2 linked regions of the Nothobranchius furzeri genome follow. The protein of the gene in region 1 interacts with the protein of each later gene in a biochemical or structural test. Links are inferred from orthologs where the notes say so. Each region holds a gene or a part of one and is shown on either strand. Other genes may lie near its edges. The genes, in order: smurf1 and pdlim7.

Region 1 (15,645 bases):
AGACACAAACTGAGGACAATATTTTCCTGACATACAGGGTTTATTTAGTTGTCTGAAAATGTAACACGTTTAAAAAAAATACTGAGATAATACCGAAAACCGTGATAATTTTGGTCACAATAACCGTGAGGTTAAATTTTCACACCGTGACAACCCTAGAAGTAGCTGCTGGCTCCTGATTCGCCATCCTTTTGAAAATACTGCGGCGTATTCTGGGGAATTTTTGACACAGGCCAGGTTTGAATACACCTTCTGTGTATCCTTGCTCAGCTAGCTAAAAGGCTAACAAACGAAGAACACGCGCCTCGGTAGAACATGAGCAATTTGGAGCAGCCTTGGCGGTTCCTGATGATGTATCTCCTAGGCAACCGGGGTAGGACCAAGACATCAAGGCGAGGTTCCTTGACACTGAGGAACGGACCTTACCTTCCTCCTGAGAAGTTCTTCTCTGCTGGTTGGGTTGTGTGCAGTCCTGGCAGCGACACTGCCCCCGGGTGTTCATGTGCTGCATTGCAGTTAAAAACATCCGAGTTAAGATAAAGAAAAAACCTGTATTGATGATTTTTTAGATAAATTTCAGCTTAAAGCATAACTAATTGTTGGTTTCTGCTGTGATGGGTGTCGTGTTTTAGTTTCTTAGTTTTTCTGCTCATTGAAATTCAAACCTGCATTCTTCCTCCTCCGAATCTTTTTCTGCACCAGATTTCATGGCAGCAGCCCACACGCCATCATTAACTACATGTTTATGCATGTGACATTTTCTTCATACTTTCTCTTTTTGTTTATTGTAGTATTGTGTGCCAAGAACCTCGCAAAGAAAGACTTCTTTCGTAAGTATTTTTACGTCAGTGTTTTTGTAAATATTATTATTTTGTTGCAACAATGGAAACAGAGAGCTGGTGTGTGTGTGTGTGTGTGTGTGTGGGTGCAGGTCTACCAGATCCATTTGCCAAGGTGGTGGTAGACGGATCGGGCCAGTGCCACTCCACCGACACCGTCAAGAGCACACTGGATCCCAAGTGGAACCAGCACTATGACCTGTGAGTTTCCTTTCTGTAAAGATGTTTGACCTTGATGAAAATGTCACAATATATTCAAAATGATGAATGGAACTTGTTCTCCAGCTACATCGGGAAGACGGACTCCATCACCATCAGTATATGGAACCATAAGAAGATCCACAAACGACAGGGGGCGGGGTTTCTGGGCTGCATACGGCTGCTTTCCAACGCCATCAGCAGGCTAAAAGACACAGGATGTAATTCTAATTCGTCGTGGTTTAAAACTTTCCTTTGACTCATTTATCATGACTGAGATTAAAACCCTGAGTTTGCTTCCTCCTCCAGACCAGCGGTTAGATCTCTGTAAGCTGAACCCCTCTGACAGCGATGCAGTCAGGGGTCAGATTGTAGGTAAGACTATTTGTCCAAAACGGTGTTTTTCTCGCGTCGTCCCTTCCTGTCCCTCGCCCTGTCAGCACTTTAATCTGGTCGTTCTTGTTGTTTACAGTTAGCCTACAAACACGAGACCGCATCGGCAGCGGCGGGCCGGTGGTGGACTGTAGAGGCCTGCTGGAAAATGAGGCGTAAGTGTGTTGCCACGTGTTTTTGCTGAATTTATCAAACTCCATCCTGTGAATAAGGTCACCACAAAATTTGGGAGCAAAATATGTTTTCTTACTGGTTTGATCACCGTTAGTTTAAGCTGTGAGGTTTGTTTTCTTTTTGGTGCAGGCCTGTTTTTGAGGGATGTTTCAGCGAGGAGCCGCTCCCCTACTCTGACCCCACTGGTGCTGCGGGAGGCGGGAACTGCCGGCTGGACTCCCCAAATCAGGAGAGCCGTCTTCCATCGCAGCGAATCAGGGGGCAGGACTCCAGAGGTCACGGCCACACCCCTCAGAACAGACCGCACGGGCATCAGCCGCCTGACCTGCCGGAGGGATACGGTTAGTTTAACAGCAAAGGTTTTATCCAACCCAAACTTGACTCAGATAGTTTCTAAGGCCGTTTTATCTGTTTTTGCTTTAAAAACAGAGCAGAGAACAACAGTTCAGGGGCAGGTGTACTTCCTTCACACACAGACAGGGGTCAGCACCTGGCACGACCCTCGGATACCACGGTGAGCGATCACACACTGCTGCTTCTCTCACTCTCCAAACATCACCCATATGGAACTAGGATTGGGACAATTTTACATGTAACTTGTACCAAGCTTTGTAACCCGTAACATGTTTTGTAACTGCAACTTTCGTTTTGTAACACGTAACATTTGGTACATAACTTGAAACTTTCATTTTGTAACTTTCAGAAAAAAAGTCAGTGCACAAGTTCCAAATCACAAGTTTCAAAACACAAATCTCAGTCTACAGTTACAAAACATTTTGTCCCAATTCTAGCTTCCTTCTCAAAGAACCAATGACGGGCTTTGTCTGACCAGCCAATCATGAGTCTTAGATTCCTGTCGAGGACAATTCCTGTTGGAAGCAAGCTAGAATTGGGACAAAATGTGTTGTACTTGTAGACTGAGATTTGTGTTTTGAAAGTTGTGATTTGGAACTCGTGCATTGATTTTTTTCTGTAAGTTACAAAATAAAAGTTTCATGTTACTTACCGAAGTTGCATGTTACAAACTGAGAATTACATGCTACAATACTAAAGTTACATGTTACAAAACATGTTACAAGTCACATGTAATAATGTCCCAATCCTAGCTCCATACACCCAGAAACAGGCGAGAATAAACAAGAATACAAGGTCCTGGTGCATTTCATAGAAATAACTTCATGAGAATAAAAAGATGAGAAGAAACGATGCAGCAGCCGCTGATATTTCAACGTTAGTTTGGTTCTAATCTAAGCTACGAGAAAATGCTGGTTTTGATGTTTAAAGAGCAAGTCACTCCAAATCAACATTTTTTTGCTGATAAACTATATAAATGAGTGTCTGATTGCTGTAGACAAATGTAGTCAATAATTTGGCATTTTAGTGCATCTTCATTAAAATTTTAATTTTCTGCCTAAAACTGTCAGTGATGCACCGTCGTCAGGCAAAAACTCAGCACTGCATTTGCATTCTGCCGTCGCTATTGGCTAAGAGGTACACTATGATGTCAAATGGTACATTATGATGTCACAATGTCGTGAGTGTGTGTATTTGTTAGAGGCTCCACCCTCTCGGTCTGCTAGGCAACAGCATTTGTTGCATTTTTCAAACAGGAAGTGGGAGTTGAGTAAGAATCTGGTAGGGGGTGACTTGCTCTTTAAAATCTGGAAACGATTGAATAACTCAAAGTCACAATCAGAGGGATTCCATTAGAAAATATATTAAAAAATCATAACAACCTGCTCTACAAATGTTTTCCACTTCTCCCTCCCTCTGGTTGAAAGCGGAATCACAACTGTCAAACAACTCAGCCGCTGCCTGCTGTAGCTAACGCTAACAATGAGCTAATGCTAACACGAGCCAACTAAAACCAAATAAGCCACGAAGTTAAAAGATCCACAACGTTGGACAAAAAATATTATTACTTACAAGTTCAGTAGCAACAAAGCCAGGTCACCATCAGTCTCTGATTTCATATCCTTCTTTAGCTCCCTCAAACTAGCGTAGGCCGCGACGATGTTCACTCAGGTTTTATCTCCGCTTCATCTCCAAAGACATTGCTCTCTTACTTTTACTTCCAGGCTCCGCCATGATGCCAACAGAAAAAGCAAAATTCTTCTTTTTTTATTGACAATCGCCAAACTGATAAAGCTAACTGCTAGCCTTTATATTAGCTACCGGGAGAGTGGACAGCTGTTGCCCACTGGTGTTTTCTACCAGAACCATAAAACTGTGCGACTGCTTGTGGCGCAGGGACCTGGCCAGTGTGAGCTGTGAAGAACTCGGGCCGTTACCGGTGGGCTGGGAGGTCCGGAGCACCGTGTCCGGCCGCATCTACTTTGTGGACCACAACAACAGAACCACACAGTTCACAGACCCACGTCTCCACACCATCATCAGGTGGGCCATCTTCAGATCCTCATCTGTCTTTAACAGATGAGCCGATTCCCTCCTGAGTGCTGGACGTTTAGTCTGCTAAACGAGTAGTTTTAAGATTGTCTTCTCGTTAATCTAATCTGCTGATGTGAGTAAGAAACACGTCTGGATCTGAACATGACGTGCTAACACTCACCAGCTCTGCTAGCGCGGCTGAATCATGTGGTTTACAGAAATGTGGGCTTAAGGGAGGTTTAGCAGGTGTGTGTAATCCGGGCGTTCTTCCATCTCATCGTGTTTTCTCTCATCTGCTCTCCTTCCTCGGCTTCATCTCCACCCTCCAGCCAGCACTCCCAAGTGAAGGAGACCCCCCAGGCCCCTCAGATTGATGTGGGAGTGGAGGAGGGGGGAGTCGGCAGCGGAGGCGGAGGAGGAGACGGAGATGTAGCGGTGCGCTACGAGAGAGACTTGGTGCATAAGCTGAAGCTGCTCCGCCATGAGCTGTCGCTGCAGCAGCCTCAAGCGGGACACTGTCGCATCGAGGTGTCCCGAGAGGAGATCTTTGAGGTGAGAGAAAGAGCAGCAGATGATTAACGACCTTTGAACCCTTTTCTTTTAATGTCGTCAGCTCCAGCCTCATTTTGGGGAGATTATTAGTTGTTTTTTTTTTATTCAAACATTTATTGTTCAACAACGTAGTTCAACAACATAAATGCTGGTAAGGACAATAATGTTAGCCTGAGCTGCTAACACTCAGAGGTAAATAACAGAAGATTGTTGAAGCACGACTCACCTTCCAACATGTACTTGGAGTTCCAGATTATGAATGAATGAATACTTTGTGTTTGTCACCCCCCTCCCCCGTCCCACACCCCCCCCCCCCCTACAACTGCCATCTTGTCTCCTGATCAGTGAGGCTAACGCTAGCTCTTTTCCTCTCTCTGGTCATCACATATTTTGTTGTGGTTCTGGTCAAGTGTCCATCACAAAACGAAAAAAAAAAGACATTTTTCTCCTAAATCAGACGAGGTTTCTGCGCTTAACTAACCTCTTCTCAGCTTCTCCACCAGGCGTCATTAGCTCAAAGAGTTAAACTGTGTGTGTGTGTGTGTGTGTGTGTGTGTGTGTGTGTGTGTGTGTGTGTGTGTGTGTGTGTGTGTGTGTGTGTGTGTGTTTACAGGAGTCCTATCGTCAGATAATGAAGATGAGGCCCAAAGACCTGAAGAAACGCCTGATGGTGAAGTTCAGAGGGGAGGAGGGTCTGGATTACGGAGGAGTGGCCAGGTGATTTTTTTAGTCCTGTTTCTGGGCAGCCAGCGTTTGGTGGTTCTGCTTTAGTTGGTGCAGCTGTGGCCGGGGCACACAGAAGACAGATGCGCCGCGCCGCGTCACGCCTGCTATATGCAGGACTTTTAAAACATACCAGAACAACACTCCGTGGCGCAGCTGTCTACATCATTGTGGAGTACTCCTCTTCTTTTTTCTTATTTAACACAGACAGTGTAGCCATTTGATGTTTTTCTACCTAAACATCAAATCGCTACACTGTGTTAAATAAGAAAAAAGAAGATGATTATGAACCAAAACGCAGAACGAACATTCAGAAGAATTGAGGAGTACTTTACAATTCAATTCAAGCTTATTTATTAAGCTCCAAATCAAGACAAGAGTCGTCTCAAGGCACTTCACATAGTAAACATTCCAATCCAGGTCAGTTCACCAATCAGAAAAATATTTCCTATATAAGGAACCCAGCAAATTGCATCAAGTCACTGACTAGTGACAGTCTTTACAGCAATCCTCATACTAAGCAAGCATGAAGCGACAGTGGAGAGGAAAACTCCCTTTTAACAGGAAGAAACCTCCAGAGGATCCTGGCTCAGTATAAGCAGCCATCCACCACGACTCACTGGGGATGGAGAAGACAGACAGACAGAAGTGTTTCTATGGTTACATTGTGATTTCTTTGTAAATATTGATGAGAGATAAACTTTACTGTATTTATCCTAGTGAATCTATAATTAAACAGGTAAACTAGTAGTAGCACATTCAATGTACAACAGACATTACGACGCAGAACGACTTTACGGCACAAAGCCAACCGCCAAAACATGGACGAGGAGCTTATAAAGGCTACTTGACTACAGTATTGATACTTTAAAGTACTATTGATCTTAAAATATTCTAATAAACAGAGTACTCACCCATTTTTAATGAATTAGTTTCACAAAACACGACAGCAGTCTGATCACGTATAAACAAGAGTCACTTTCCACTTCCTGTTCTCAAGTCCCACGTGAAGTTGTGACTGTCTCATGACGCTCAGCGATGCAGCGATTCCTGTGTGACCCCAAAACTGCGGCGCTTCCGTCTTCTGTGTGCCCCAGGCTCACAGACACCGATGTAGTAGTACTAGTAGTACTAGTAGGGTTAGTAGTAGAAAGTGTGTTCCTTTATCAGTGTGTTAAACGTATGAGAGCTGTCTTTCAGACTGTGAAAATGTTTTTGAGTTTTAATATTTTGCCTTAGTCGTGTTAAAAGTCTTGTTCTCTGACAAACGTGTTCTTTTGAAAGCCGATCGGACACTCCGAGTTCCTCGTGCAGGCTGAATGTGAAAAATAGTCTTCTACCCCTATTTCCTGCTTTCGCCGCAGAAGGAAATAGATGAGGAAATGCTCGTGTCAGAGAGGAAATTAGCATTAGTGGCCCCGCCCACCTTGGCTTCAGTCGTGACGGCAGAAGGTTGTTATTGATTTAGCATCCAGGAGAGAGCAGAGCACAACTCGGCTAGTAGAGGCTAACCGTTAGCATTAGCAACTCCACAACACGGGTAAAAAAAAAAAACAACCTTTAATGTGTGATTCTAGATCAGCCCGGTGCTGTTGTTTCTCTGTAGGACCGGTAACCCATCCATGTGCGACTAGACGACGTGTTCCTGCTCCATCAGAGTGGTTAGATTAGCGTCTAACGGGCGTTTTGTATCATATCTGGCTGTTATTGGTGTGATTTGTCAGTGTAAGCGTCTGAAACAGCCTGTGTGTGTCTGTAGGGAGTGGCTGTACCTGCTGTGCCATGAAATGTTGAACCCTTACTACGGCCTGTTCCAGTACTCCACCGACAACATCTACACACTACAGATCAACTCCGACTCCTCCATCAACCCCGTGAGTGTCCCTTTGTGTGTGTGGGTGTGTGTGTGTGTGTGTGGGGGGGGGGGGGGGGGGGGGGTTGATCCAGACAGTCTCTGACTCGATTCCTGTCTCTTCAAGGACCACCTGTCCTACTTCCACTTTGTGGGTCGGGTCATGGGCCTGGCGGTCTTCCACAGCCACTACATCAACGGGAGCTTCACGCTGCCCTTCTACAAGCAGCTGCTCGGGAAACCCATCCAGCTCAGTGACCTGGAGACCACAGACCCAGAGCTGCACAAGAGCCTCGTCTGGATACTGTGAGGAACTTCCCTCTGTTCTCAGAGCAGCTCAGGCCGACGTTGGTGTAACCCGGTTCAGACCTTTAGCACTAAACGGGGTTACAGTAGCCTGCTGCTTTAGCTCATCGTGCGTTTTCACTTGTGTTTAATGTTCTTTGTGCAGAGAGAACGACATCACTTCCGTCCTCGATCACACGTTCTGCGTGGAGCACAACGCTTTTGGGAAGTTCTCCCAACATGAACTGAAGCCTAACGGCAGGAACGTCTCTGTTACGGAGGAGAACAAGAAGGAATACGTCAGGTAGGAGCAGACGATTGGTCGACACGTTTCCTGGGTCGGGTGTCTTCATCCTGTCTGTGTTTACGGCGCGTTGCAGACTCTACGTGAACTGGAGGTTCATGCGGGGAATCGAAGCCCAGTTTCTGGCTCTACAAAAGGGATTCAGTGAGCTGATCCCACAGCACCTCCTCAAACCTTTTGACCATAAAGAACTTGAGGTGAATGTCTCAGCTCTGAACCACGGATCCCTTTTTAAATGTTGTTTTGATTTGTTGCGTTTGAGTCGGACCGTATCCATCCTGTTGTCCTCTCGTCCCTCCAGCTGATAATCGGCGGGCTTGGAAAGATAGACCTCGCGGACTGGAAGGCCAACACCCGCCTGAAACACTGCACAAGTGAGAGCAACGTGGTCCGGTGGTTCTGGCAGGCTGTGGAGGACTTCAGCGAGGAGAGGAGAGGGCGCCTCCTGCAGTTCGTCACAGGCTCCACCCGGGTGCCGCTGCAGGGGTTCAAAGCTCTGCAGGGTGGGTCATGTCCTGACACACACACACGCACACACACACACACACACACGCACGCACGCACACACACACACACATGGTTACTCATAAAAGTTTAAAAACAACAAAGAGACACACAGCTAACCAGGATCAGGGCTGGACGGATACTAAAACACAATCATGTCCTGCTAAGACCCGAGTCTGGGCCTCGCATGTTTACATCGTTACTCTGGAGACACAAATAACAAAAACGGGATAAAGATTAACGATCAGTTCCTCTGTGATGTCCTTTTATTCAGCTAATACTGGATCATTCCTACACCCAGTAGCAGGCTTTAGGAGGTTGTAGCCGTGTCAGATTAAAGCTCGAGTCCTGATTTAAAGTCGGGTCACAGTTCCCTTCTGATTACAATTATTTTTCTTAGCTTAAAGAAAAATCCACAGCAGCAGGATATTCCTCACATGGCCGTTATTCGCTCCTCGCGCTCATTCTCGGGACCTCGTAGCCCCTCCCACTTTTCTTTTCACAATAAAGTACAGGAAACAAAATACAAGCTATAGGCAGGACATTTAAAACATACCAGAACAAACAAATAGTGACTAAATGAGATAAATTCAAATTAAAGAATAGACTTTTATAAGTTTTATTACTCATTTGCAGCAGATTTATAAGTTCAGTGTGAGCACTATGGCCTCATTTATCACGTCTGCCCTGCGGGGCACCTAGCTGCTAATGCTAGTTTTTACGTTTTACTGAAGAAAAACTCAATTCTACAATCTGACCTTCAGAAATATCAGTATAAATGTTGTTAATCAATCAAAATTAAATTAGAGATCCATTCTTCTCATCCTATCCTTTATTATCGTTGCTTTGCTCATCACAATGATGATGTGCTCAAAAGAGACATTTAGTTTTTGTGTAGAAGTTATAAACAATCGTTAAAGCTAAAAGTTAAAACTAAAATGAAACAGAATTTAGAGGGAAACAAGCCCTGAAAAAAAGAATTAAACCTGCAGCAAAAACACTGCTCGGTCTAGCCGTTAGCGTGTCAATCCTGTTGGATGAAACACTATTTCTCTTTAGAGGAAGCTTAAAATAGTTATTAACTATCAGTTTTACACATAAAAACACTTAAAATGGCTGACTGAACTAAATGTGTGTCTGATCAAGTTTGAGCTTTAACTGGATGTTTGTAGTTTGGACTGAGGAGTGGTCTGTCTCCCACGGTAGCGCAGTGATAACTAGAATGAATGTGTGTAAGGCTCTACAGGTTCTGCAGGACCAAGGCTCTTCACCATCCATTTGATAGACGCCAACACGGACAACTTACCCAAGGCGCACACATGGTGAGGACACGTATGACGCGGCGTGTGGCGTCCTCTGCAGATTGGTGGCTAACGCTTGTTTCCTGTGTCCAGTTTTAACCGGATAGACGTCCCTCCCTACGAGTCTTACGAGAAACTTAATGAGAAGCTGCTGACGGCCGTGGAGGAGACCTGCGGCTTCGCTGTGGAGTGACCTGTCCACGTGCACACAACTGTTCAACACACACACACACGCACAGACAGAACTTCATGTATGCTCCGAGTATACAGTGCAGCCAAGCATCACACACACACACACTCCCTAGCCACCTCCGAACTGTTGGGGGTAAAGGAGGAAGCACAGCAGCAGCAGGAGGAGGAAAAAACAAGTATTTTAAATTTTTTCAGACATTTTGAAGAAGAATTTTTATCCTTCATTTTTAACGAGCTATGATGTCATTCTTACGAATGTCCAACCACGACAAGTCGGACTCCAAACTCAGCCAATCGCACGAGAGCCTGCAAACACGGACGGTTGATTCATCGACTTCATGGTTACTTCATGGTTAACCACTGTTCTGTGTGTGTGTGAGTGTGTGTGTGCGCGTTCATGCATGCGTGTGTGAGTATGGAAAGCCAAAGGTCACAATAAAGCGCACGTTTTGAATGTGCGTAATGGCCGTTTTGGAAAGCCAATATTAAGCAGACAATAATTAATAAAATTAAAATAAATAAAATCTGCTTTAGGTGAGTCGAAAACAAAGTAAATAAAAGAAGATGAGTCCTGATACTTGAAACCGTTTAAAGGGTTAAAACGTCATACTGGCAAGAAGTGTAGCTAATAAAAAATTATATATATATATATATATATATATATATATATATTACAGTTTAACCCTCTATTGATAAACTGTTCAAAGTATCAGAACAAAACTTTTTTTTACATTCTTTGTTTATCTAGCCAGCTAAAGCAGCTTTTTTTTAATCCATCACCATTGGCTTTCCATACAGGATTTGGCGAGCACGGTGCAAGTTTTTTACGGGCGCCTTTTTGTTCCCTTGGTCGTCCTGCCGCGCATTTTATTGTCACCTTTGACTTTCCATAATTTGAATGGTAAAACGAGCCTCTGTTGGCTTTTGTCTGCGACCACTCTGATCCACTCTGATGTTTTATTCTTATTTATTACTAAGTGATTACTGACCACGCTGCTACGGGCTCTACGACGAGCCATCACTAATCTCTTAATCAGCCCTCGATTAGAGTTGAAGGGTTAATTTTCACGCAATGCAAGTAATCCACAAAGTGGGTTTTTATTGACTTTTGTTACTTTGAACATCCATATTCCTGTGGAGGGAATAAGCTCTAGACGGTGAATGAAAATGTGTTCCAGAATACCAGGTTACATTTGTCTAAATGTAGAGGAAGTGATTTTTCTTGGCCCTGGTGTTGAAATCAATCATATTTGAGGTCATTTGAAGCTTTTATTTTTATTTTATTTTTTACAGATTTAGTCTAAACCGGGATGGAGAAACAGCCAGATTTAGGAATCCTTCATCCATGTTGTCTGTATTAAAATCTCTTCAGTCTTTTGTACATGTTGCATTACCCGTAATGCCATCTTTTATTCATAACACCCCATGTCCTGAGTGTTAGAAATGCTAGACTCCATGAATGAATCTATTTCCGCTCCATGAAACTTTGATGAATAAAAGCTCAAAGAAGAAACAATGTTGTAGATTGAAGACTGTTAAGCAGTATTATTTCAGTCTGCATTGTCTATGGTCTGATTTCACTGTGTAATGGATGCAAAAGTATTGTAACTTACAATGTACTAAACATTTATGAACGAATACAATGTAAATAAGATTATATTAAAAGAAATTACATTGAGAATAAGGTTTTCTACTTTGTGGCTTTTTTTTTTTTGGCTCTAGAAAATTGGGGAGAACATGACGCTCTACACACCAGGAAGAGTCCTACCTATCCTGTAAAAATAGTCTTGTGCTTTATAAAAATAAGCTTCAACAAGCTAGAACCGCATATTTTTCTTCGTTAATTGAGGAGAATAAGAATAATACTAAACTTATTTTCAGTACGGTTGCCAAACGTTCAGAGAATCATAGCTCAGAACCATCTATTCCCTTAGCCTTCAGCAGCGACTTTATGGGAATTCTATTAGATACAACATCATTAGCATCCTCCCTAATGCGATTTCTTCTTCCTCAGTAAGTGAGGCAGTATCAGAGGTAACTGTAGAACCTCATTTGTGTTTGAACTGTTAAAAATATTAGCTTAATCTAAACCTTCAACTTGCATTTTAGATCCAATCACAACCAAATTATTTAAAGATGCATTTCCTTTGGTTACTGCCCCCATTCTGTTTATGTTTATGTGCTTAGCAGACGCTTTTACCCAAAGCGACTTTCAAATTTTTTTTACCTATAGGGCATGTTGTGATCTGTGGGGGAAACCGGAGTACCCGGAGAAAACTCACGCATGCATGGGGAGAACACGCAACTCCACACAGAAAGGCTGCAGCCGAGTTTCGAACCTGCGACCTTCGTGTTGCGAGGCAACAGTGCTAACCACTGCGCCACCATGCATATATAATCAATCTATTCTTAGTAAATGGATACATACCACAGGATTTTAAGGTTGCTGTAATCAAACCTTTACTTAAGAAGCCTTCTCTGGATCCAGATGACCCAATGAATTATAGACCAATGAGCATTTAAACACTAATGCTCTGTTTGAGGAATTTCAGTCTGGTTTTAGAGAGTATCACAGCACTGAAACTGCATTAGTGAGAGTTACAAATGATATTCTTATGGCCTCAGATAGGAATCTTGTGTCTGTTCTAGTCTTGTTAGATCTCAGTGCTGCTCATTTATAAAGCTTGCTTGTGCACAAAATGGGGTCGGAATACTGTAAGCAACTTTCCACGCAAACTTTGGGGTTTATAAAAGAAAACAAAGCAGAAACGTGCACAACTTTATGTTGACTAAGGACCTTGCTTACGCACATTTTGGACATGGAGAACACTTGCAGTGCTGCTGCTGAGAAGGATAAAATTTTGAATTCCAGCAGCATTATCTCTTGTACCATTTCATGCACACACAGAACAAGCCCCCCTCGCTTCCTTGATCTGCGGTCGCCATCGATAATAGTGGACTGCTGCAACAAGCCAGCTTATGTAAATGCATGAGATCCACAAGCCACTTTGCATTGACCATTTATGGCAGAAAGTGGGCGTGTTGAGGGCGGGATGTTATCCAGAAACAGCTGAGCACATTTCTGGGTAGTTTGTGATTATAAAGCGGAGATTGCGTGAAGCTGTGCGTACTCTGTTTTATAGGTCACAAACTTACTTGGCGCAAGTACATTTTTTTGCCGAGCTTAAGTACGGTTTTAGTAAGGATTCTACGCAATGTTTTATAAGAAGAAGAAAGTATCATTTCTATAGCGCCTCTCAAGATAAAAATCACGAGGCGCTTCACAAAAACAAAAAATATGTAAAAATATTAAAAAGCATTTAGAAAATGTTTAAAAATATATTTAAAATGAGCAAAAATATACAATTGGGATTTAAAAGAAAAAATGTTAAGAAAGAGAGAGAGTGAATAGGAAAGAGGGAAATCAGTGGATCCTGAGGAAGGTGGAATAGGTGGGGAGAGCAGAATAAAGAGGGAGTGGTGAAGAAGGTCATACAAAAGCCAGCTTGAACAGGTGAGTCTTCAGCTGCTTTTTAAAGGAGACCACTGAGTCCACTGATCTCAGGCTCAGGGGAGAGAGGTCCAGAGTCTGGGGGCCACAGCAGCAAATGTTCTGTCACCTTTGGTCTTTAGCCTGGTGCTGCACAACCAGTAGGCTTTTGGGCCATTCCCATCTGTACCGGGTCGGCCCGGGCCGGGTAGCGTATTGTTTACATATCTGGGTGGCCTGGTATTTTTCCGGGCCAACCAAGGCTCATTCTCAGCCCTCTTCTCGAGGGGGTCTGCTTCAGGCCGACCAGGGCCAACACACCCACTGCTGACAGCAAATTCACACCTTCCATTAGAGCAAGCCTCTTATTGGTGGGTAGAATCAGCCCACATGGGCTTAAGACAAGGATGTGTGGAAACAACCGGGCCAGGCTGGGGCTGACTGGGGCTACCCGGCCCGGGCCGACCCGGTACAGATGGGAATGGCCCACTAGATCACTGGACCTCAGGGACCTGCTGGGGGTGTAGGGACTAAGAAGATCACCAATGTAAGATGGTGCTTGTCCATGTAAGGCCCTATAGACCAGAACCAGGATCTTGAAATGAACCCTGAAGTTGACTGGCAGCCAGTGAAGCTGGAGGAGAAGTGGGGTGATGTGGGTGTGTTTGGAGGACTTGGTCAGAAGCCAAGCACAGGCATTCTGAACCACCTGTAGATGGTTCAGGGAGGTTCTGCTCAGACACGTGAAAAGAGAGTTGCAGTAGTCTAAGCGTGAGGAGATGAAGGTGTGGAGAACAGTCTCAAGTTCAGAGCGAGACAGAACGGGACTCAGCTTAGCAATGTTCCTGAGATGGAAGAAGGAAGAGCGAACAAGAGAACTGACATGAGGATCCAGGGTGAGAGCTGGGTCAAAGGTCACGCCAAGATTCCTGACGGAAGGTTTGGTGTGAGAAGCAAGCTGACCAAGAGAGTCTCTGACTTTGGAAACCAGCTTGTCTGGGGCACAGATGAGGATCTCAGTCTTATCTTCATTCAGCTGAAGAAAGCTCCCAGCCATCCAGGTTTTGATAGAGTCTAAGCAGGTGTGTAACAGCTGCAGCTTAGACATCTCATGGGGCTTAAAGGAGATGTACAGTTGGATGTCATCTGCATAAAGATGGTAGGAGATTCCTTTGAAGGAGCTCAGGATGTGCTGAAGAGGAAGCAGATAGAGGAGGAAGAGCAGAGGCCCCAGCACTGAACCTTGTGGGACACCATGGGTAAGAGAGGTGGTGGAGGACCTAAACTTGGAGACGGCCACAGAAAAGGAGCGCTCAGAGAGATAAGAGGAGAACCACTCCAGAGCAGATCCTGATAGGCCTACCCAGTCTCTCAGCCTCTCCAGTAGCAGGTGATGGTCAACAGTAAGTCTCTCGTCTCTCGTCTTCCTCCGCTTATCCGGGTCCGGGTCGCGGGGGCAGCATCCCAACTAGGGAGCTCCAGGCCGTCCTCTCCCCGGCCTTGTCCACCAGCTCCTCCGGCAGGACCCCAAGGCGTTCCCGGACCAGATTGGAGATGTAACTTCTCCAACGTGTCCTGGGTCGACCTGGGGGCCTTCTGCCGGCAGGACATGCCCGAAACACCTCCCCAGGGAGGCGTCCAGGAGGCATCCTGACCAGATGCCCAAACCACCTCAACTGGCTCCTTTCGATCCGGAGGAGCAGCGGTTCTACTCCGAGTCCCTCCCGAATGTCCGAGCTCCTCACCCTATCTCTAAGGCTGAGCCCGGCCACCCTACGGAGGAAACTCATTTCGGCCGCTTGTATCCGCGATCTCGTTCTTTCGGTCATTACCCAAAGCTCATGACCATAGGTGAGGATTGGGACGTAGATCGACCGGTAAATCGAGAGCCTGGCTTTCTGGCTCAGCTCCCTCTTCCCCACGACAGATCGGCTCAGCGTCCGCATCACTGCAGACGCCGAACCAATCCGCCTGTCGATCTCCCGATCCCTCCTACCCTCACTCGTGAACAAGACCCCGAGATACTTAAACTCCTCCACTTGAGGTAGGACCTCTCCCCCGACCCGGAGGTGGCAAGCCACCCTTTTCCGGTCGAGAACCATGGTCTCAGATTTGGAGGTGCTGATCCTCATCCCAGCCGCTTCACATTCGGCCGCGAACCTACCCAGCAAGAGCTGAAGGTCAGAGCTGGATGAAGCTAGGAGGACCACATCATCCGCAAAAAGCAGAGACGAGATTCTCCTGCCACCAAACTCGACACACTCCACACCACGGCTGCGTCTAGAAATTCTGTCCATAAATGTGATGAACAGAACCGGTGACAAAGGGCAGCCCTGGCGGAGTCCAACCCTCACTGGGAACAGGTCCGACTTACTACCGGCTATGCGGACCAAACTCACGCTCCTCTGGTAAAGGGACTGAATGGCCCTTAACAGAAAGCCACCCACCCC
Region 2 (15,645 bases), on another chromosome or scaffold:
CGCACTATGTCGTGTCCCCCCCCAAGAGATCTGCTGTGTGAAAGCAGCCGAAAGGGCAAGTTCAGGTACAAAAGTGGTGTGTCTGAAAACACAGTTCTGGTTAAAAACTGGACTGAATTGTCCTCACATTCCAGAATGCCAATCTGAAAAGGGCTTAAGCGTGAGGAGATGAAGGTGTGGATAACTGTCTCAAGTTCAGAGCTGGACAGAACTGGCCTCAGCTTTGCAATGTTCCTGAGATGGAAGAAGGAAGAGCGAACAAGAGAACTGACATGAGAATCCAAGGTGAGAGTAGGGGTTGTACGAAATAGTCGACTAGTCGACTTCACGGCTCTGTAGTGACTTTTTATGCCTGTCATCAACTAGTCGCTGTCACGTGATAATGACTGACAAGATGCAGTCCTCGGAAAAGACAGCAGGTGATGAGCCCCTGCGCGTCTGGATCGAGGCGGAGGCGACGCGCTGTGCGGTACTGACACCGGCGGTAAAACGGACATTTAACCAAACTGTGACCTTTTCCCTCTTGCAATTTAACCTTCCCCTCACCCCCATCCTAATCTTAACCAGTTTGTGCATGCAAAGCTCTGATCGTTGACGTGCGCTCCAGACATTGCGTCCTGAGCACCGCCAAATCAGGTGTCACCACCTCAAAAACAAATTAAACATGCGATCGTTCATGTTGGCTCATTTCCTTTCATGTTTTCTGTCTGTTATTTGTGCCTGATGCATTTCGCTGCTGCGGAGCGAGGCGCATCACCTGTTGTCCTCCGGTGACGCACCCCCAAGATTCCACTATCTCTGCTCCGCTCCGGCATGAACTCCGCAGCAAAGACGGTCCCGTTGTAGTCGGCCAGCGAGCAGCGGCACTCCGCTGTTTTTGCGGTCGGTAGATCTTTTAGAACTGCAGTTCAAAGGTAACTCATAAGGTGAATATATATGAACCCAGGTAGCAGTTTTTCTTTAGGATTGAGAGGAGATGCAGGAAGATAATAAACAGGCAGGACAGAAAAATAGTCAAATAAAAACAAGTTAGTTTTTGTACCTGCTGGTTGCAACAAACAGACACCACTGAAGGTAATCAGAAGTGAGGAACAGAAAATGAAATAATTATTTTAATGTTTAGAGCAGCAGGAAAGGCTGCAGGCGCATCAGTGAGTTTGTGGCTGCTGCGCAGGGGGAGGGGGGAGAGGGCTGAAGTAGGATGCAGAAACTACCGTTGTTAAAAGAGATGTGTTAACTTAGAAAATGTGGGCGCAATTTTAATTGTCAAAAACTCCAGCGAACCTACCAACCGACCCCCCCCCCCCCCCCCGCCGCTTCCGGCGTATGACGTCATCAACGACTAGTCTAAGTCGACTCGACTTTCATTACTTGACTGTTGACTTTAGAAAAAATAAAGTCGTGCAGGCCCTAGGTGAGAGCTGCGTCAAGACTCCTGACGGAGGGTTTGGTGTGAGAAGCAAGCTGACCGAGAGAGTCTCTGACTTTGGGAACCAGCTTGTTTGGGGCACAGATGAGGATCTCAGTCTTATCTTCATTCAGCTGTAGAAAGCTCCCAGCCATCCAGGTTTTGATAGAGTCTAAGCAGGTGTGTAACAGCTGCAGCGTAGACATCTCATGGGGCTTAAAGGAGATGTACAGTTGGATGTCATCTGCATAAAGATGGTAGGAGATTCCTTTGAAGGAGCTCAGGATGTGCTGACGAGGACGCAGAAAGAGGAGGAAGAGCAGAGGCCCCAGCACAGAACCTTGTGGAACAGCATGGGTAAGGGAAGTGGTGGAGGACCTAAACTTGGAGACGGCCATAGAAAAGGAGCGCTCAGAAAGATAAGAGGAGAACCTCTCCAGAGCAGTTCCTGATAGGCCTACCCAGTCTCTCAGCCTCTCCAGTAGCAGGTGATGGTCAACAGTGTCAAAGGCTGCAGTCAGGTCCAGCAGGACCAGAACAGAACAGTCCCCTGCATCACTGTGAGTCAGAAGGTCATTGGAGACCCTACGAAGAGCTGTTTCAGTAGAATGAGCTCTACGAAAACCTGACTGGAAGCAATCATAGATGTTATGTTCATCAAGAGCTGCTGTGAGTTGTTTAGCCACAACCTTTTCCAAGAGCGTGGAGATGAATGGAAGTTTAGAGATAGGTCTGAAGCTGCTATGGAGAGAGGGGTCAAGACTCAGTTTTTTAAGAAGCGGGTGGATTACAGCGTTCTTAAAGTAAGCAGGGACCTGACCAGAAACCAGAGAAGCATTAATTATAGAGAGCACGCTGGGACCGATGGACTGAAAAGCACTTTTAAACAAAGATGAGGGTAAGATGTCGAGGGGGCATGCAGAGGTCTTCATAAAGTTAACTAGTTTTGTTAACTCTGGCAAAGAAACAGGAGCAAAGCTATCTAGGATGATGGGCCTGGTTGGATTCGGGAGAGGCGGCGATAAGGCTGAAGGAGAGATGCTAGATCTAACCTTATTGACTTTGTCCACAAAGAAAGACAGAAAGTTCTCACAGTCTGCAACAGAGTGGATGGAGGCTGTAGGAGAGGCAGGAGAGACAGTGCTGCTGATGGTGTTAAAAAGCACCTTGGGGTTCCCTTTGCTCTGGGACACCAGGTTGGAAAAATAGGCACCCCTAGCGTCTCTGACTGCAGAGTTAAAGGATGTCAGAAGATCCTTTAGGTGCAGCAGATGGACGTGGAGATGGGTTTTCTTCCACAAGCGCTCAATTTTCTGCATTGGTGCTTTAGGCTGCGAAGGCTGTCATTAAACGAGGGAGTAGGGTTCACTGCAGGAACTAATCTGGTTCTGACAGGACAGATATTGTCCAGAATGGAGAGGCAGTGCTCGTTGAACTGAGAAGTTAAGGAATCTGGGTCATTATCAGAAGAACAGGGTGGATCAAAAGCAGCAGAAAAATTGCTAGCTGTGCTCTCGTTAAGAAAACGAAAACTAACCATACGGCGAGCAGGAGGTGGGGACGCAGAAACTGACAAGTTAAAGAAAATGCAATGGTGATCTGAAATCGAAACGTCCTCATGTCAAACACTGTCAGCATTTAGACTCAGGGTAAAAACAAGGTCTAGAGTGTGCCCCGTGGTGTGTGTGGGGCCAGAAACATGCTGGGTAAAGACGAAGGAGTCCATAAGGCTGGAGAAAATCATGGCAAAATGATCAGAGGGATCATCAACGTGGATGTTAAAGTCACCAACAATCACCAGTCTGGACAGCTTCACAGTGGAGGACAGAAACTAAACTCCTGAAGGAAAGAACTGTTTGGACCAGGTGGACGATAGACCACAGCACAGTAGAACGGGTCCTTACGCCCGACTTTAATCAGCTGCAGTTCAAAGGAAGCAAAGTGACCAGAGGTTGTAGAGCTACATGGATGCTGGTCTCTGAAAACAACAGCTAGGCCTCCACCACGACCAAAACCCCGGGGCTGGCTAAGGAACGAATAACCACTCGGGCAGAGTTCAATCAGACCAGAATAATCAGATGTTTGCTGCCAAACTTCAGTCAGAAACAGAAAATCCAGGTTTTTAGAGAGAATTAGATCATTGAGCAGGAAAGACTAATTGTTAACAGAGCGGGTATTTAATAGAGCCATGCTGAGTGACTTTATTGCAGATTCTGTTCATAACTTTTATGGACAGAATTTCTAGGCGCAGCCAATGTGTTAAGAGGATCTGTTTTGGTGGCCTAATGCCTAATTTATACTTCTCCATCTGCATCGGGATGGAGACACGCAACTCCATTATCCGTCCTTTCAAACCTCCTGGAGAGCTCTTCCAAGGATGGATGGAGTCGAGGTCTCTTTTCTAAACATCTGACCGGCGAGACGAAGAATGCAAGCTTGTGATTGGTCAGGACGCCGCTGTCGTCAACAATGCCGTCATTGCGCCCTCGAAAACATAAAGAGAACCAAGGATATCTAGCGGCAGACATGGAGCAGCTTGAAGAATACCTCACGGCAAAACTCTAAAAATATGAACGTTTTATTCACCTGTGACCGGAGGAGTGAAAAGATATGCAGCAAGCATTTTATCCATGGACGGAAATTACGGGAAAATTGGGTTTAGAGGTGGCGAGTCCATGAAGAGGTGGAGAATGAAGGACAAATTTGTTTGTGTTAAAAAGTCTCTTAAATACACAAAATACAATATAAATATAATATTAAATGCACTAACCAGATACATGACAGGATACCACAGAACAGCGCTATGCCCTCTGTTGTCCTGGCGGGGAGTTGCTTTGCAACTAGGGATGTACCGATCAGGTTTTTTTGCCCCCGAGTCCCAGTCATTTGATTTTGAGAATCTGCCGATACCGAGTCCCGATCCGATACTTTCGATACATGAAAAAAAATAAAATAAAGAAAAGGAAGAAACAGTTCCAGAATGTTCCTTATTTTTTTTTATTTAATTACCTTTTTATTTTAATTTTAAATAACAGATCACTTCGGTGAGGTAGCTTGAACAATCAAGTAATAAATACCATAAATGCTTCACTTTTGGACTTTATTGCAATTTTAAAAAAGTCTAATATAAAAACAGATAGCACTTCAACTTCAAGGGGTCTATTTTGCCTCGGCCCCCAAAATGCTTAGATACGTCCCTGGGCATCACTGCAGTGACGCGGGCGTTGTACCGATTTGTCGTGGTGAAGAGAGAGCTGAGCCATAAGGCAAAGCCTGTGATTTTCCAGTCGACACGTTCCTACCCTCATCTATGATCATGAGCTTTGGGTAGTGACCAAAAGAATGAGATTGCAGATTCAAGTGTCCGAAATTAGTTTTCTCAGCAGGGTGGCTCGGCTCTCCCTTGGAGAGAGGGTGAGATACCCACAGAGGGTTTGTTTAGTCCTGCAGAGTTGATGTGTTTATTCTGTTGTTCAGCATTGGGTTTTGAAGCATGTTTAATTACTTGATTGATTTCTGTCTCCAAAAAACTTAATTATCATGGAACAAAGATATCATGGAAGAAAGATCTGCAGACAACATGAACTTAAACAATCCAGGATAAACATTTTTAAACTTGCAGCTTCAAGGTTTAAATAAAACAGCTTCTCTCTGGGATCAGATCCTGCTGGTGCTGTAGCTTTGAATCATTCACACAGAAGATAATTTGTGTCACAATAGTCGATTATAAATACTAATTTCAAAATATGAGACTTGAGGGGTTACCATGGTTACCGAGCTGTGTGTGTGTGTGTGTGTGTGTGTGTATGTGGGATCTTTTGTAATTAACCGTTTTCTCCCTTCAGCCTTGAGCCAACTTCATTCTCTGCCAAGACCCAAGCTTCAGATAAACCAGATGGTGAGTTTCTGCTCCTGCTGATGCGTAAAACAAATCACAGCAGCATCTGCTTGGAGGCTGTGCAACAGATTCTTATTCTTTAGGTCTTCATGCATCCAATTGTCAACAGAGACACAGAACTTTTCTCAGTCCGTGTTTTTTTTTTCTGTCCAGATTCCAAGACCACTGCAGCACCAACAAGAGGGGGTTCCAGTATGTCCTGCAGACCACCATGGGTCACGGACCCTATATTTGCAGACCGCTTTCACCCAGACAAGACCAGCACCGTGGTGACGCAGCACCAGCAGCCTGTCCAGCCAACACCCATGCAGAACCGCAGCTCCATCCTTCAGGCAGCGCAGCAGGCGCCCGAGGACAGTGGCAGAACCCCAGTATGTGGTTCTTGCAACAAAATCATCAGGTGAGGCAACTCTTAACATTTACCTAAACTGTGTAAAGTCAGTGTATGAACCTTTTCAGTCCTGTTTAGTATGATGCATAATCTCAGGTGATTAATGTGCAGAATTAGTTTACTCATAACTTAATTCAGTTGATTTATTTAGCATTAGTTCACAGCTTGTATATGTTTGTGTAGCATGATGATTTTGAGACTACATATTTAATAATGACCAATAAGATGTGATGATTCCATATAAATATGAAATATCAATCTGATTGATCTTTCAGTGTTTACTCAGACGATTCTAGTGTTCTTTGCTAATTCAGGGACCATAAACACACTTGCTATTAATTCAGACAGAGTCAGGTATAGTTTCTAAAATTAATTTAATTATTTTTCCTAAACTAATGATTATTCATGACAAGATATGAATAATGAGATGTGATGTAGTGGGTATGAGGTGATGTAATGGGATGTGTGAAATGTAATGGAAGCTAGATGTTTTAGCAAAACCGTTCTTTGTATCTGAGAGAGTTTGTTAAGTCTGGGTTGTAAAATAATTTGTTGTTTGTTTATAAACTAGAGAGTTGTTTATTAAAATCATCCGAAGCCAGTGTGCAGGCTACGATACCCTTGGTATGAATTGATCCCGGCGGTCCAGAGGAGTGCGGTTCGAGTGGTGATGTCACCGGACGTTGAAACCACAATACTCAGAGAGTAACAGCTTCCTCTGAGTTCAGCTTCACCATCCATGAGATGCAACCTGGGGTCTGCAGGTTAGATGTCTGAGGTGTGAAGTAGCTCTGAAAAGAGCTGTTGCATCTGTAATTACTCACAGCGTCGCAGAGAGGCTTTGACTGGAAGTCAAAGGAAACAGTTTGAAAAAGGCTTCTTCCCCGATTTGGCCGAATCAGGAGTCAGCTAGAAACTGAATTAATCAGGAAGTACATTTTTGTTTTATTGAACTAATTGTTTATAAATTATAACTCAGAAGTACCCCTGAAGGACTTAGTTGTTCATCCTTTTATCAAAACTTATTTAGAGTCTGAGAGGGTTAATACGTATCTTATTGTAATGTGTATGAGTGTAGATACTGATTAACTTGTTAAATCAAAGACATACTGATTATAAGATCTGAAATGGATCATTGTAAGAGCAATAGTCATTTTATAGCCATCATTGGTTAAAGCACAGATTATTCAAACATTTGATTTAAACATCTTGTTCATTCAACACATATTATTATTTATACTTTTAAGCTGTAAAGATAAACAATCAATGATGAACAAGAGTCTGCTTCTAGACCTGCAGAAAAGGGACACACAACAATATAACAGGAGCAAGCTATCACTGCGTCAACTTGATGAAGAAATATAAAATCAACACTGTTTTACCGAACAATCCCACGATAATAAATTACAGTGCATTATGCCACTTCTGTTGGTTTAAATATGGCGGACTGAGCAGTTGGGTGTGGTGGCCTTTCCTGATCATCTTTTAATAAGTTCGAAAAAAGGACTGAAAAGTTGTCCCACTTTGAAGACATTGGGAATTCTCTTCTTCAGTATGCCTCCAAAAAAAACTCTGGCTAAGGACATGCCGAAAGGTACAGAGGAAGCCGCTGACGTGTTAATCAGTGACTTCAGCTTGGCGTCGCTGGACGCTATATTGAAAAAATATTTTTCTGAAGCCGAGACGCTCTCTAAAGAACGCTTTGATCGACTGGAGTCTCAACTCGACAGTGTGATTGTCACTCTTAACAAGCTGGAATCCGAGCTTGAGTCTCACAAGCAGCTGACTTCCTCACTCCAGAATTGAGTCAAGCAAATTGAAGAAGGTAAAGTGGATTACAAGTCTGACCTAACAAAACGCCAAAATAAGATTGTTTTTCTGGAGGATCAAAGCGGAAGAAATAATATCCGAATCTTCAACCTAAAAGAAGGGGTCGAACTTAATCATGCTTAATCCTACCTGAAGGATCATCTCCCGGTGTGGTTCCCAGAACTGGTGGCTTCTCCTCCTGACGTGTTGGTCCCGGCGGAGGCTCTGCTTCGTCGCGCACCTTGCTGGTCAGTCTCATGCAAGCTGCCGACAAAGTTCGTATTCTATCCCTGTCCAGGAGTTCTCAGGTGTCTGTCGCTGGGAGGCTCATATGTTTTGCAGCGGATTATAGCGATGTGACGGTGCGATGGCGTTGTTTTCCAATCTTAAATCGTGCTCATGCCCTGGGTTGGAAAGTCTTCCTCTTTTATCCTGCCAATATCGAACTGATCTACGGAGCTGAACAACTGTTTTTTACTGATCCAGCTGAGGCAGAGACATATCTGGACTCCCTGGATCCTGCTGTTATGAATAACTCTGAGGATCACTAAAGTCTTCTGGCTCTGAGGTTGGTCGTCCATCCCTTTCTTTCATTCAGTCATTCTACCCACCAACATTATGAACTATTTTCTATTTCTTTTTTGGTCGGTTAATGATGACCTTATTTTTGGTGGTGTCTTAAGTTAAGTTACCCAGATGTTTTCACCTATGTGCCTTTTATGTTTTGATTGGGAATACTTTTCCCTATGTATTTTTTCACTAGGTCGCTTTTCTTTCTTTTTATTAAGCTGCCTAATTACACTTTTATTTTTCTGAATTGCCCTCGAAAAGACTACTTTATCTTTATCTTTCTGGTAACATTTAGTGTAAAGTAGTCAGGGGTGGCCATAATGCTCTTGGTTTATTACCATCTGCTATAATGACTTTGTAGCCCTGCCTGCTCCTCCTTGCTGCCTGCCGGCTGTGATCACAAGCGACAACATAGTAATTCCCGCTGCTTCTTTGGGAAACAGCGCAAAAAAAAAACAAACTTGGGATCTTGTAGGCATGGCGGTGGGATTTCAGCCGTGGCGGGCTGCCACGGCTACGCCTATGTAAGGGAAACCCTGGTTATCCTGTCAAGGAACTCAATGATCTCATTATCTGATGGGTTTATCTGTGGTGAGTACAAAGTTTGGTAAAAGTCTCTGAAAGTGTTGTTTATTCTTTCAGGATCATAAACTATATTCCCAGTTGAGCCTTTACAGGGTATCCGCGGGTCCTTAAAAAGTCTTAAAAAGTCTTAAATTAGCTTTTCCAAATTTAAGGCCCTAAAAATCCTTAAAAATGACAAATTATCCTTAAATACTGTTTCCAAAGGTCTTAAATTACCAAAGACCCAATAAACAAGATTCTTTTATTTCTATAAAATTGTCGTGAATTTCTAGTCAGTGTTCAGCATTTTTTGTGTACGATATTGGCGGAAGCGGAACCGTACACATTCAGTTGGTTGTGAAAGGGGGCTATTTTTAGATGAGCACATTAGCTGGTTAAGCTAGCGGGAGCTTGCGCCATGGGGAAGTGCAAGTGTAATGGTAACTGGATGGCTAATCCCACGTTCGCGACGTGGTTAGCACCGGTTCCAGGCAATAGCTGGAAATTATAGCTTAAATAAAATTTTAAAAATTGCTGAAATTTGGTCAAAGTGGCCTTAAAAAGGTCTTAAAAAGTCTTAAATTTGGCTCCCTTAAACCTGCAGATACCCTGCTTTAACAGCAGATATGGTAGTTTTCTCTTTATTTATTCGTAACTGGTTAGCTAAAAATTTACTTGATTTATTAATATGTTCAAAGTTTTGTATTTGTAGTCTTTGTGCTAAAAATTGTGTCTAATTCCATGAAGTTCTAATTTATTTTCACGTAATTTGCTCAGTAACTCTTTTTCTGCAGATGCCTCTAAAGACTTAATGATTTCTTTTAACTCCTTAATAAGTATGTTTTCTGTTTTTTCTTATGTGATGAGAAAGAGATTGTTTTACCTCATGATGTTCCAGGCAGGTCATTATGTTCTAAATTTAAAGCCCACTCCTTTTTAAAAAAAGTCTATAAAACCTTTGTCTTTAAGCAGTGATGTATTAAACCTCCAGTTTTTGCTTGGTGGGATTGTCTTCTTATTTACCAGAGTTAATGAGACCGGAGCATGGTCGCTGACAACTATGGGGTGTAGGGCTGCAACAACGAATCGATAAATTCGGTGAAAATCGATTACTAAAAGCGTTGGCAACGAATTGCGTCATCGATTCGTTGTGTCGCACAACTCTTCCAAAAGCGCACCCCCCCTTCCCGCCCGCCGTTGCGCACAGACCAGAGCAAGTCAGATCAGCGCGAGGGAGAGCCGCAGATCAGCGCGAGGGAGAGCCGCAGATGCGCGAGGGAGAGCCGGTACCGGCAGATCAGCGCGAGGGAGAGCCGGTACAGGCAGATCAGCGCGAGGGAGAGCCGGCAGATCAGCGCGAGGGAGAGCCTGCAGACTTGAGCTGCTGCGAACCGGTTCCGCATTGTTGCACAGCGATCCAGGCAGCTGCTTCCAGCGCACGGTCCATTCTCAAAGTGGCGCAACCAAAAAACTATAATTAGCACACGATCGTTCTTGTCTGCACATGTTCTCTATTTTCTGTCTTATTTGTGCCTGAAGCGCGCTACTGCGGAGCTCATCACCTGTGCTGTGGTGATGTCACCTCACGCAGCATCGAAAACGCGCTCTGCGCTTTGCGGTCAGGAGATCTCTTTGATCTGCTCAAAAGTAACTGATGAGGTGAAAAGGTAAGAATCCAGGCAACAGATTTTCTGGAGAATTATGAGGAGATACAGGAAGATGAGAGACAGACAGGACAGGAAAATAGTTAAATAAAAACAAGAAAACAAAGTAAAATGTAGGTAGATTTATCACCACTACACGTTTTTACCAGTAAAAAACAATAAGTTATACACATGTCATAGTTATACATCTGATACAATTCAGATCACCTTCAAAACTCAGTCACACACCCAGGGCCGTTTCAAGACATTTTGGGGGCCAAGGCAAAATGCCCCCCACCCTCCATAACTGGGCTCCCCAGAAGCCTCTGTGTAATCCATACCCTCTCCAGGAGTATTAGTTATACAGTGTTTGTAAAAGCCCCTCAGACATTACTGACATGTTCTAATATTATCAGATGAAAAACTAAATTATCAGACATGCTGTCTCATCTGCTTCTTTTATAAACTTGCAAAAAGTAACAAAACCATTTGAAAGCCACTATTTGTGGATTCTCTGAAAGTTTCCATGGAGTGTGTGACAACTTATTTTTTCATTGATCCTATCGTCTAATCTCACAGCTGAAACAAGCATCCTTAATAATCTGTGCACAGGAAGCTTACCGATGCTGTAGTAAAACAAAAGGTATAATAATTTATTATTAATAAAACCTTGTTGCAGCACTAAAGCATAAAAATGAGATTTTGCATTAAATATGCAAAATATTTACACATGAATTGTTTTAGAGCCCTTTTATTGGCAGAATCTGAAATTAATTTAGTTCTTACAAAAAATGGGTCCCAACGTGGTTTGTGTGGCGTTGCCATAGAGTGACGTCATAGGCACAGATTCCCTGTCCTCTTGTTTGGAAATGGAAATATGGTCACCCTATATTAAACAAACTGTCCACCCGGGCTTTTGCGCTGCACAGAGACGCTTCGCTGCCTATGACTTTGAACGTCAGTTGAGAGTCAGTCTCATGCAGACTGACCAATGAAGAGAGGGCCTCAAGTTAAGACCCTCTCCTCATTGGTCAGTCCACACGAGGTGGGTCAAAGGTTACTCTGGGCGGGTTACGTGTTGTCAGGCATTCAAGTATTGAGTATATTTACTGCATATTACAGTAAAATATTCTGTATGTGACCACATTATGGTGATCCTTGGGTCGTGATGATGGAGCCCTTGAATATTGTTGCCCAGGGTACAACAAAGTGTTAATCTGGCCCTGGTTCCGCCGTCACATTCCCGCAGAAACTGGTTGATCACACCGGGGCCAGACCACTAGCATGTGGTTTTACAACCACAATGTCCTCGGAAGCAAAAACGCTTTTAAAAGGGAGGGAGGAGTCCTAACTGTTGCTGCAGGCGTGTTGTGTGAGAGTGCAGTTATATACTGGTTAATATATTCTTTGGGTTCAGTTGCTTTCATGTGGCCTAATGTGAGTCTATTTGGGATCATTGGAATGATCAGTAGCATTTCTTGATGTGACTTTATGGCAGTTGCCCAGGGCATCATCGCAAGGAGGATGGCATTCATTTACTTTTGTTTTATTTGGTATTTTTTCAGTCATTTTTGGAAATGGTGATCAATTTTGATTAATTCACAGCCTATGTTTAATTACATTTAAAATAAATGTCAACAGATGAGATCAAACAAAACAGATGAGAATTGCCCTTAAGCTGTTTAACTTGGACCAAGCATTTTAGGTCACAGATAGATGTAGCTTAGGGTCTCTGTCTATACACCTTATAAGACAATTTAGGTGATGGCATGTTGTTTTTCTGATATTGAACTGTTTTCTAATAATGTTGTGTTAAATAAAGTGAAGGAAGGAGAGAAATAACGTTTCCCTAGCAGTTTTTAAAAATTTCCCCATGTAATCCGATTAATCGATTAATCGTGTCGAGACCCCATCCGATTAATCGATTATCCAAATAATCGTTTGTTGCAGCCCTAATGGGGTGTATCTCAGTGTCTGAAATGTCAGCCAACAATGAGCTGCTGACTAGAAAATAATCCAAATGTGAATGAGAGTGATGGACGTGTGAGAAAAAAGTATATTCTCTACGGTTAGGATGAAGAGATCGCCATGCATCACAAAGCCCATAATCACTCATGTACTGTTTAACTATGTTAGTGGATTGCCAATTGCGCTGAGTCCCAGCTGTACTGAGTCTGTCTGTTAAAGTATCCATCCAAAAATTAAAATCACCTTCAAGTTTAAGTGGACAGTCCAAGTGTTTGGAGAGTACAGAGAAAAAATTATGAAAGAATGAAGGGTCATCAATATTTTGACAGTATATGCTGACGATACATAAGCGTTGGTTCTGTATAGATATTTTTAACATTATAAATCTACCCTCTGGATCAAAGACTGTGTCCAATACTGTGAAATTGATGTTTTTGTGTATTAAAATAGCTACACCTCTTTGCCTAGAGTTATAGCAGGCAGAGAACATGCTGGGAAACTCAGGTGTTTTAAGTTCATCTGCAGATGTGGCAGATCTATGAGTCTCTTGTAACAATATTACGTCTGCTTGCACTCTCTTTAGCTGATCAAAAATCTCTCTGGAGCCAGCTCCATGTACGTTCCATGAGACAAACCTTAGTGCACCCATAGATGTGTGTGAGAGTAGCTAGAATATGACGCCTTCATGTGAATAAGATGGAATAAGTACTTAAATGTATAAAATAATATGTTAATAAATAACAGAAAATAAATAATGAGAAGAAGAATAATAAAGACCCAACAGTGTTTGTGGTTGTATAATGAGACACATTAATTATGATATTGTGTTGTAGATTTAATGTGTGTGTGTGTGTGTGTGTGTGTGTGTGTGTGTGTGTGTGTGTGTGTGTGTGTGTGTGTGTGTGTGTGTGCGTGCGCATGTGCTGAGTCTGACACAGTGTTGGAAAGTTGAGTGGTTGTGCCATAGAGATGTAAAGGTCCAGAAGCAGATAAAAAGAGGAAAGGAAAGAATTATAAAGGTTAAAGAAGAAGAAAGAACTTAAAAGAAAAGGTGATAGGGGTGTGAGGTGGTTAAGAACAGGTGATCTCATCATCTAGAACACGGATCTAGCAGCTATGTAATCCTGACGTGCTCAAACCCAGTGAATCCTGATAGGAATATTAAATATCTGACCTGATGTTGGGCTAATACAGCCAGTCTGTCACTCCTCGCTCCTTGAAAAGTTTGCTGTCCACATAAAGCTTATCTACTGAGATGACAGCTCTCTTCCCATCCTGGATAAACTTTTTACGCAGCGGGAAGAGTACTCGGCGCCAATCCAGGATTTCCTCAGGAAACTGGTCATTCATTTTGGTCTTTTCCTTTGAGCCCTCTTCCATGACTTTTAACAAGATTCTTCTGCTTAAAATGTTCAAATTTAGCCACGATGGGATGAGGTCTTCTGCTGTCCACTCTTCAAGCTCCAAGGCGATGTGCTCGGTAAAAGGTGATGTTTTTTTTACTGTTTCTTCAGGTATCTTCATTTGGGTCTGGAGAAGGTTCTTGATTTTTGTTCGCAGTTCTCCGCCCCTCCCATCTGCTCCGGCAAGCCTGCGAACACCAAATTGTCTCTCATGCTACGGACCTGAACATGCAAAACGGTCTCCTTCAGAATCTTGTTGTCCTGGGTGATCTGCTTCACTCCTTCTTCTAGGGAAGAGACGCGCAGTGACGCGTTCTCAGCGGTGAGCCGCTCCACCTGCTCCTGGCTGAATTCCAGAGACTGTGGGAGGTTCTGGATCTCCTTGTGTAGAACCTCAAGCAGGTGGAGTCGCCCCTCAAATCCCAGAAGCCGTTTATCTATGGAATCTAATCATTCTAATATGTCCTTACAGGGAGATGAGGTCTCAGGCGAGTCCTGAGGATGGCTCCTCTTGGTCACAGGTGTTTCTGTGTCAGCTGCTGATTTCTTCGGACCCATAACAAAAAACTCAAAAACTTTGTCAATATAGTTTTGTAAACTTTTTAAATTTTCTCCACTTACCTCCAGGTTGAGTGAGTTACACTTACCAGATCATTTTTTTGCGTTGTCAGTAAATAAATTAGGTGAAAATGCATCTTATTTTTTTGTGGATTAACGAGCTGCCATCAGCTTCAAACGCTGCTGTGTCTATGGTGATCGGCTGTCAGTGCATGCCATCACCAGCCTGTGCCTGAGAATGTGCCTTGTTCCTTTACAAACTTAATACAAAGACTTTCAAAAAAGAAGTTGCGCACATTTTTCTACTTAGTTTTCTTTATGAATCACAAAGTCACTTATGGGCTGATTGGCTGCACCTGGCGGTAAGGCGTTTCCTGTTTCCAATGTTGCACTACGTGTAGCTGTTTGGTGTTTGGGGCTCACTAAAACTGATTTAATTTCTCTGTACTAGTTATTGTAGCACATAAGCACGCTAAAACACACATTTTCTGTTGTTCCACCTAGCTTTTAGGGAACCATTTGAGTTTGCACGCAGTTTATTTGGTGTTGAACAGTTTGCTCGTCCAGTTAGCTTAGCCTCAGCACGGCTATGGCTACTTCTGTCTCTGCTTCTCCATCTCCTATCTCTTGCTCTCTGTGTCAGATGTTTAGTTACTCCTCTGCCTCCTTTAGTGATAATGGTACATGTAATAAATGTAGCATTTTTGTAGCTTTTGAGGCGAGGGTGTCGGAATTGGAGTCCCAGCTCCACGCTGTTGAAAAACCCGTAAACAGCCGTAGCTACTTAGCTAGCGCGGGGCTAACTAGCTCAGAACAACCCTGCAGCGATCCTCCAGCAGAACCCGAGCGGCTGGGTGATGGTACGCAGGAAGCATAGAACCCAGCCCGTGGGCCACCACCAACCCGTCCACGTTTCTAATAGATTTTCCCCGCTCAGTGACGCACCCACTGACAAGCCGACTCTGGTCATTGGCAGCTCCATAGTCAGAAACGTGGCATTAGAGGCTCCAGCAACCATAGTTAAATGTTTACCTGGGGCCAGAGCGGGCGACATTAAATCTTATCTGAAACTGCTGGCTAAGGATAAGCGTAAATACAGTAAGATTGTTATTCACGCTGGCGGTAACGACACCCGGTTACGCCAATCGGAGGTCACTAAAATTAATGTTGCTCCGGTGTGCAAGTTTGCCAAAACAATGTCGGACTCCGTACTTTTCTCTGGCCCCCTGCCTGATCGGACCAGTGACATGTTTAGCCGCATGCTGTCCTTCAACCGCTGGTTGTCTAGGTGGTGTCCTGAAAACAACATGGGCTTCATTGATTATTGGAAAACTTTTGGGGGAAAACCTGGTCTGATGCAGAGAGACGGCATCCATCCCTCTTTGGACGGAGCAGCTCTTCTTTCTAGGAACATGGCCAGTTTTATTAGTCCT

Evidence for each region.
Region 2: the proteins of smurf1 (region 1) and pdlim7 are reported together in a solved structure, tested with the Homo sapiens proteins (2 studies listed by BioGRID, with this or other methods). The link is inferred for Nothobranchius furzeri from reciprocal best matches to the Homo sapiens genes SMURF1 and PDLIM7.

The regions. Positions count from the first base shown.
Region 1 is NC_091752.1:65,339,036-65,354,680, forward strand, and holds the end of smurf1 (E3 ubiquitin-protein ligase SMURF1), read left to right. Parts: intron 1-791; coding exon 792-830; intron 831-931; coding exon 932-1,040; intron 1,041-1,124; coding exon 1,125-1,258; intron 1,259-1,346; coding exon 1,347-1,412; intron 1,413-1,509; coding exon 1,510-1,585; intron 1,586-1,733; coding exon 1,734-1,945; intron 1,946-2,033; coding exon 2,034-2,118; intron 2,119-3,854; coding exon 3,855-4,001; intron 4,002-4,321; coding exon 4,322-4,544; intron 4,545-5,157; coding exon 5,158-5,261; intron 5,262-7,026; coding exon 7,027-7,141; intron 7,142-7,246; coding exon 7,247-7,425; intron 7,426-7,570; coding exon 7,571-7,708; intron 7,709-7,784; coding exon 7,785-7,905; intron 7,906-8,009; coding exon 8,010-8,211; intron 8,212-9,449; coding exon 9,450-9,534; intron 9,535-9,606; coding exon 9,607-9,706; 3' UTR 9,707-9,939; downstream 9,940-15,645. UniProt on the Homo sapiens protein: E3 ubiquitin-protein ligase that acts as a negative regulator of BMP signaling pathway. Mediates ubiquitination and degradation of SMAD1 and SMAD5, 2 receptor-regulated SMADs specific for the BMP pathway.
Region 2 is NC_091741.1:103,121,906-103,137,550, reverse strand, and holds part of pdlim7 (PDZ and LIM domain protein 7), read left to right. Parts: intron 1-5,253; coding exon 5,254-5,306; intron 5,307-5,459; coding exon 5,460-5,706; intron 5,707-15,645. UniProt on the Homo sapiens protein: May function as a scaffold on which the coordinated assembly of proteins can occur. May play a role as an adapter that, via its PDZ domain, localizes LIM-binding proteins to actin filaments of both skeletal muscle and nonmuscle tissues.